Linked DNA regions of Macaca fascicularis. The protein of the gene in region 1 interacts with the protein of each later gene in a biochemical or structural test. Links are inferred from orthologs where the notes say so. Each region holds a gene or a part of one and is shown on either strand. Other genes may lie near its edges.

Region 1 (4,364 bases):
CACTGCAACATCTGCCTCCCAGGTTCAAGCAATTCTACTGCCTCAGGCTCCCAAATAGCTGGGATTATAGGCACCTGCCACCATGCCCATCTGATTTTTGTGTAGAGATGGAGGTTTCACCATGTTGGCTAGGCTGGTCTCGAACTTCTGACTTTGTGATCCGCCCACCTCGGCCTCCCAAAGTGCTGGGATTACAGGCATGAGCCACCGCTCCCGGCCAGTTCTTTTTTTCTTTTTTCCTTTTTTTTTTTTTCGAGACAGGGTCTCACTCTTGTCCAGGCTTGAGTGCAGTGGCACAATCACGGCTTACTATAGCCACTGCCTCCTGGGCTCACATGCTCCTCTGGCCTTGGCCTCCTGAGTACCTGGGACTACAAGCGTGAGCCAGTTTGGCTAATTTTGGCTAATTTTTGTAGAAACGGGGTGTCATCATGTTGGCCAGGCTGGTCTCGAATTCCTGGGCTCAAGGGATCCACCTTCCTTGGCCTCCCAAAGTTCTGAGATTACAGAAGTTAGCCACTGCGCCCTGCTGGCAAATTTCTTAAACTGTCTGTGCCTCAGTGACTTCATTTAATAAAGGGAATAATTGTAGCACCTTTTTCCTAGAGCTGTGAAGATTCAGTGGAATAAATAAGGCAATAAATGAATGGATGGGGAATGAAGGATGTGGGTTTCCTCCCTCTTGTCTTTCAATAAGCTCTCACCATCAACCTCCGGTTGCCTGTTGTCTCTCTTCCCTCTCTCTCCCTCTGTCTCTCTCTTAGCCGGGAAACCTGGGGTAGGGAAGCATGGAGTCAGCGGGAGCAACGGGAGGTTGCGGACACTGATTGGGGACGCCCACGGAGACAGTCCGGGAGAAGGATCGGGGTGGGGCCTGTGGCTGCTGCAGGAGGAGGAGGAGCCCGCGGCCCGGCCCACACCGGGGCAGAAGGGCGGAGCCAGGTGGCGCCCCGCCCACCGCTTCCCGCCCACGCACTTTAGCCTGCAGTGGGGCGGAGCGAGAAAATACCTTGTCCACCTCGCGCCTCTGCCGACTCTGCAGTGCGACGGGCGGAGCTTCAGGACGCCCCGCCTCCTGTTCCGCCCCACGTCGTATGCGACCCGGAGACGCGTGGGGCGGAACTTCCGGACGCCCCGCCCTGCTGCCGACCCTGCGGAGCTGAGGGTGAAGCCTTCGGATGCCCGTCCCTCATCGCTGGCCCGGTCGCGCTGAGGCGAAGGGGGCGGAGCCTGCACCCGCCCCGCCAACCTTCGCCCCGCCCGCCTCGCGCCGCGCAGGGAGGAGGAGGAGGAGCCGCAGCCGGGCCCGCACTGCAGCGCCAGCGCCCGAGCGGGCGGCCAAGCTCCTGGAGCGGCCTGTCCCCGAATCCCGAGCGGGCGTCGCTCAGCAGCCGGTCGCTCAGCAGCCCCGTCCCGCTCCGCGCCCGCCATGCCGTCCGCGGGCCCCGCCTGAGCCGCGGCCTTCGCGCGCGGGCGGGCCTGGGGACGGCGGGGCCATGCGCACGCTGCCCTGACGATGCCGCCCGCGGCGCCCGCCCGCCTGGCGCTGGTCCTGGTCCTGGGCCTGGGCCTGTGGCTCGGGGCGCTGGCGGGGGACCCCGGGCGCGGCTGCGGGCCCTGCGCGCCCCCCTGCCTCTGCGGCCCTGCGCCCGGCGCCGCCTGCCGCGTCAACTGCTCGGGCCGCGGGCTGCGGACGCTCGGTCCCGCGCTGCGCATCCCCGCGGACGCCACGGCGTTGTGAGTAGCGGGCCCAGCGGGACCCGGGAGAGGCCGCGGGGCGGGCGGGCGTGGGCGCGTTCCCTGGCCCGGTACTGGAAGCAGGACGCGGGCCAGGACGCTCCCAGGGCGAGGCTCCGGCGCGGGACGGCGGCCCTGCTAAATAAGGAACGCCTGGAGCCGCGGTTGGCACGGCCCCGGGGAGCCGAAAAACCCCGGGTCTGGAGACAGACGTCCCACCCGGGGGCTCTGCAGACGCCAGCGGGGGCGGGGCGCGGAGGCCGCGCTCAGCTGAGAGGACAAACAGTCGCTAATTGGAGGGGAACTGGGATGCGGCCTGGGGCTGCGGGATACCCTGGGAGGTGGGAATGGCTGTCGGGGGCGGTAGGGAAGACTTTCAGGAGGTGTCTGGACAAAGATTTGATGGATGTGCAAGAATTGGCCTGATGCTTAGGAAGGGGCGATGAGGTGGGTCCAGAAGAAGGGGGCGTGAACGTTGTGAGCAAAGACCGTGAGGCTGGAGGCTGGCCACGGGAGGTGGGCTCGCGGGTGGGCTGGAGTCATGAAGGGCCTCAGGCGCTCTGCTGTTGGGTTCCAAGGCTATCCTGAGAACAGGGGCGAGGGAGGATTGCTGTGAGGGATTAAAGCCTTGTCATGTTCGCTTTCTGGACATAAAAGCAACAGGTGGCCTTCATGGAGACGCTGCCCATAGCCAGGTCTGTGCCAGGCTCCTGTTGGGGGTCGTCATGCGGAATCCTGACCCTGACCCTCTGAGGTATAGGGACTGTGGAGATTTGCATTTCACAGATGGGGAAACAGGTTTGGAGAGGTGACACGACCTGTCCCAGGTATCACAGTCGGGACAGGATCTGTCCCAGGCATTACAGTCAGGGCAGGACCTGTCCCAGGTATCACAGCCGGGATGTGCATAGCAGGGGTATGGAACTGAGGTGCTCAGGATCCAGAGTTGGGTTGAAAAGGGCACAGGGGACTAAGATAAGCAGACAGTTGTCACCAGCGCTGGGGAGAGTCTCGGGACCAGTCTGATGCCTTGTATTTCCCAGGCTCCAGGCTGCTCCCTAGGACGCTGTGTCTCCCTGGATGCGTGCTGGAGTGCTGGATCCCTGGGGAACGTGGCACATCCCCAGACTTGCTGAACATTGGGTGGGTCCTGGCATTTGGTTTTGTAATGTTTCTGGGTCACTCCTGCCTGTGGCCACCCTTCCTTAGGGTAGCCGTGTGTCCTTGGGGCTTTGCTGGTTGTTCTCGAGGGTGGGAGAAGAATGGATTCTCCTGGACCCGTGGAGCTCGTACCTCTCTGGGCCACATTGCTCCTGCGCTCACTGACTGCTGAAGTGTGTCTTGCGGCCGTCTCTGTGGAGATGGCCTCCTCCTGCCTGGCAGCAGCGCCCACAGAATTGCATCAGACCTACCCACCCGTTGTTTCTGATGCTGTAGCCGAGGGCTCCTCTGTCTGCCAGTCTGGTCACTGGGGGCTCTGTCCAGGTCCTGCACCTGGGGTTCCTGCTTCCCAGCACCTGGTGGTGTCCATGTGAGCAGCCCCTCAGGAGCTGTCCAGGAGAGAAGGGCGCTGGTGGCGGCTGACCGGAGAACAAGGCCCGGGCTCTCCAGGCCCTCAGCACAGCAGTGGAGCCCCCACCCTCGCCCATGCCTTGTGGTGTTCCCTTAAGCTCTGATCCTGGGATTTGGAGGAGGGGGACCCTGGGAGTTGGTGGCCTGTCCCAGCCTGAGCTGGCAAGATTCCAATTGCCAGGCCCCTCAACTGTGCAACAGGGTACAGGGTGACCTCATGTGGGCAGGTGGGTGCTGTTCTGTACACACCTGGAGCTGCCGCTGGGAGAGTTCTGGAAGGTGGGGCGAGGGGACCCATGGGACACTGGGGCCTTGGGAAGGATGTTAAGGCCCTGGCTGGCCCCTGAGGCGACCCTCTGTGCTGTGGAGGCTGCCCAGCCATTTTGCTGTCTATCCTGCAATCTCCTCCTCAGGGAGATGGCTGGGTTTTCCCCAGGGGAGAGGGGCCGAGCTGGGGAGGTCGAGGACACAGATCACAGCTGCTGGCGGGTGTTTAAGGGCCCAGGAGCGTTGCTATCTGGGTGTCCCCAGCAGCCTTCCTAGGGGGCTCATGCAGGTGCCTCTCTACTTGTGGCTCCCCGGCTGCTGAAGCTCAACAGGAACAGCTGTGTCCAGTCCCCGATGGAGGACAGCCGGGGCTTCTGAGGCCACAGCCTTCCTTGGGTTAATGATGATGCTGAGAGGTGGCAGCTTTTGGAAAAGATGGCGCACTGCAAAATGTGCTGCCCCGCGTGACTGGAAGCTTCGTGGGGAGACGTGGGCAGAGCTGTGACTGACTCATGGACCACCCACCCCAGAGCCTGCCCTGCCCTCCTTGCCCCTACCCTTCTCCCTCCTAACCCATGTTTTGAACCAAATTCCTTTTCTTTATCTGCAAGCATTTTGGAGGGCATGGCAATACCGCAGACCCACCTAACACAACAAACAATTCCTTAATGCCACCAAAGGCCTGGTGTGTTCAGATTTTTGGTTTAATAGTTGGAATCAGGAGCCAAATAAGGTCCACACAGTGCAGTTAGTTGATGTCTTCTTTCTTTTTTTTTTTTTTTTTTTTT
Region 2 (3,812 bases), on another chromosome or scaffold:
GAAGATGGCAATAATTATTCTATGCATATTCCCTAAAACCGTATCAGTTTTAGTTGTAAAAAATGTGTGGGCCTTATCCAGAATAATTCATCTCTGAAATGTTAATTAAATTGTATGCATACAGGGGTCATATGATACATTAGGTTTAGAGAAAAATTTATTCCAACTCTCATCACCAATTTGGCCAATCCTTACCTTCAAGTCTTCCACTGAGTAGAATGTGTCAAGTTCATGTGTATGTTCAATACATAGTTTCAATACTTATTTTAAAATCAATCTAAGAGATATCTTATTATCTCTGGTATTGTCAATAGACTATAATGTCATTTTATGTGGTACTGTGTTCTTCTTATACCAATGAGGAAAAAACAAAATTTGGATGTCGTCCTATATCTGGGGATTATAAAAGAAAGCATTGAAAATACTGAATTCAGCTATGCTCTTAAAATTCCACATGAAACATTTGTAAATGAAATGAAAAACAAAAAAGGAATTAGGAATGAAACTAAAAATAAATATTCACAGATAATATTTTATAGTTATCACTAATTAAAAATTATTTTTCCTTCTGTTTCTATTTCCTATCTTTTCTAACGATAAGTAAATATAAACCCAAAAACTTCTTATGACACATGAATAGGCATTTTATTTTTACTTATTTTTGTATGTTCTAAGCCACTCCTCTCAATAACTCACACATGTACCACTTTTAATGTGGTCAAGGAAAATTTTTTCCCAAAGGACCAAGTACTAAAGCCAGACCATTTAATCTTTCAAAGGTAATACGATTTGGTACCATTGGATGAAGAAACCAATGTGGTTTGGATTAAAGTTTCATTTTTCTTTGCTTCCATTTTGGTGTGGATGAGGCCATCACAATTAATTTTTCAAGTTTAGCATTGCTTTGCCAACGGGATCTCTAGTATTCCATTTCTCCACTGAATACTGGGAAATTTTAAGGAAAAGAGGCCAGGACAAGGAATCACTTCTAGATTAAACATTGCATTGACTTGCTGTGTGACTCAGACAAACCACTTACCTCTTTGTCCTTCAATTTCTCCATCGCTGAAAATTGCTTCGCCTCCCTGGTGCACAGCAATTTTGAAAGATGAAACTTGAGTTTTGAAAAGAAACATGCCACATAATTTTGAGGTATTAGAGTCCTGCTTTTGTAATAGCAAAATGACCACCATTCATTAAATCATTTGAATAGGATAATTCATTATTGCTATTGATGATATAATTATTATTGCCTTATTACTGTGTTATCATACATTTCAAGTTCTTAATAGCATTTTTATTTGATATCTTATTTCACTTGTAGTTTATTATACAAAATATCTGGAATGTCATTTTCAATATTTAGAGATTTGGGGATCTGTTATGAATTAATATAAACTGTTTAAATCAAATTTCTGCATATTTTTACCTCCTTTCATTGGGTTATTTTAAGAATTTAATTTTAAAAATTAAACATTGGACACTTACAGCTCTGTGAAATTATTAGAAGCCATGTAGAGAAAGGGTAAATTGTTCCTTTTGCTTGCAACTCCAAAATTACAGTCCATCTTATCTCCAGCTTCTTAATCCCCATGATATAGTCTTTGAATAAATTTTACCTTTCCAGTATGCCTTTAACTTAAACAGTGTATAAAATATTTTAGAAATGTACTTTCCACTTATTAAGCCTGAAATAAGCATTTTTTTGTTTTTTTTATTGACACATAAAAGGTACATAATTTGTGGTTTACAACATAATGATTTGATATATGTATACATTGTAGAGTGACTTAAGCTAATTAACATATGCATTGTCTCACATACTTATTTTTCATGGTGAGAACACTGAAAATCTATTCTCTCAGAAATGTTCACGTGTACAATATATTGTTATTAACTGTAGTCATCATGTACAATAGATCTCTTGAATTTATTCTTTCCACCTAAAATTGTGTACGTAGCATCACTTCTGATTTTAATTTAAAAAACTTTTTATGTTCAATACAATGACAATATTAAATCGTCTTCAGTGCTCCAACCCTATTTTTATTTCTTCTTTATTGAGTTAGTTGAAAAGGTCCATTTTCCCGGCTCAGCCATTGGGTAAGATGGGGCTTTTGTTTTGGGAAGCTACGGCATAGGAAACTTGTCTAATGATGTAGAGACCCAGTGACCCACATGGATGAAAGAGGATTAACATCTTTGTTATTTCTCAACACAGGCTTCGAATTCACTCAAAGAAAAGCAGAAGTGTGAGACGCAGACGCTTAGGCAAGGTGTTCCTCTGCCTGGGCAGTACGGGGGCAGCATCCCTGCGTCTTCCAGCCACCCTCATGTTACTTTAGAGGGAAAGCCGCCCAACAGCAGCCACCAGGCTCTCCTGCAGCATCTATTATTGAAAGAACAAATGCGACAGCAAAAGCTTCTTGTAGCTGGTAATTCATTATGGCACCTTTTGCGGATCATTTTAGGATTTTATTTTATTAGTGATCCAGGATAATGTCTCTTTTACTTAAGACCCTGATAGAGATCCACAGTGCTATACAAAAGTCTCCCTGATACCTGGTACTGTGGGAAAGGCTATCACCTCTATTTATTCCTTCAGATCCAACTGGGGTAGGAGGACTCACCTCATTTAACCTTTATTCATACCAGACTAGACTGGTGAGTTGTAAGGTCAGGTGCGTACCTGTCCAATGCCCTGACATTTCTCTCTTCCCACACCTGACCTTTTGACCACACCTTCTGTTGTTTGCCTGGTAGCATGAGTAATTCACTAATTTTCTTATAGTTTATACCATATATCTGTTTTCTTTGGCTTCTTATCTTTTCTTAAAATTGTGCGTGTGTGTGTGTATGTGTGTGTGTGTATACACACATATACATGTATTTTTTTTTTTCAGGTGGCGTTCCCTTACATCCTCAGTCTCCCTTGGCAACAAAAGAGAGAATTTCACCTGGCATTAGAGGTACCCACAAATTGCCCCGTCACAGACCCCTGAACCGAACCCAGTCTGCACCTTTGCCTCAGAGCACTTTGGCTCAGCTGGTCATTCAACAGCAACACCAGCAATTCTTGGAGAAGCAGAAACAATACCAGCAGCAAATCCACATGAACAAAGTAAGCCTCCAAGCCAAGTCAAAATGTTCTAACCGCTGGTTTGGAAATTGGGGATCTCTTCACTGATATGGGTATATAAGAGAAATGTTGATGGGAGTCACAGCAAAAAGGATGTGATCATCCTAAGCCTGCTTTCTTGGCTCAAGGACAGCATCACAATATCAGTGTTTTAACCACCATTATGTTCATGAGACATTTGTACAAAATTGAGATGATACATTTGCAAGATCTTTTATGATCAGGTATCTATTTTGGTACACAACCCCATATAGGCCTGTATATGTGGAGCCTCATTTTTTAGTGTTGCAGAAAAGATTTGAGGCAGACTTGAATGTGGTGCATTGACATGTCAAAAAGTTTGTACAGGTGATGGCAGATAGGCCAAGGTTAGCCAGTAAGGCACTTCTCAGCAACTTGTATGCATCTATGTTACATTTATTTTGCATATGCCCCACTTCATTCCAATAAGCGTTTGGAGTAGTTTCTCAGAAACTTGTGATCATTTCTTCCTGGAAGTCTTAACGTTGCTAAAATGGACAGCGGATGTCTGTACCATACCACATCCTTAGGAGCTCTCCTGCTGAGGCAACTACAAAGAAACAGTGATTGCAGCATAATATCAGACAGGCCAGTAAAGGATTTTCTATGAATTTGTAAGCAAAATGATATTAAAGAACCTGGTCTGGACAGT

What was found.
Region 2: the proteins of PKD1 (region 1) and HDAC9 form a complex in vitro, tested with the Homo sapiens proteins (2 studies listed by BioGRID, with this or other methods). The link is inferred for Macaca fascicularis from reciprocal best matches to the Homo sapiens genes PKD1 and HDAC9.

What each region holds. Positions count from the first base shown.
Region 1 is NC_088394.1:2,900,272-2,904,635, reverse strand, and holds the start of PKD1 (polycystin-1), read left to right. Parts: upstream 1-1,281; 5' UTR 1,282-1,516; coding exon 1,517-1,737; intron 1,738-4,364. UniProt on the Homo sapiens protein: Component of a heteromeric calcium-permeable ion channel formed by PKD1 and PKD2 that is activated by interaction between PKD1 and a Wnt family member, such as WNT3A and WNT9B. Both PKD1 and PKD2 are required for channel activity.
Region 2 is NC_088377.1:111,560,923-111,564,734, reverse strand, and holds part of HDAC9 (histone deacetylase 9), read left to right. Parts: intron 1-2,221; coding exon 2,222-2,435; intron 2,436-2,903; coding exon 2,904-3,121; intron 3,122-3,812. UniProt on the Homo sapiens protein: Responsible for the deacetylation of lysine residues on the N-terminal part of the core histones (H2A, H2B, H3 and H4).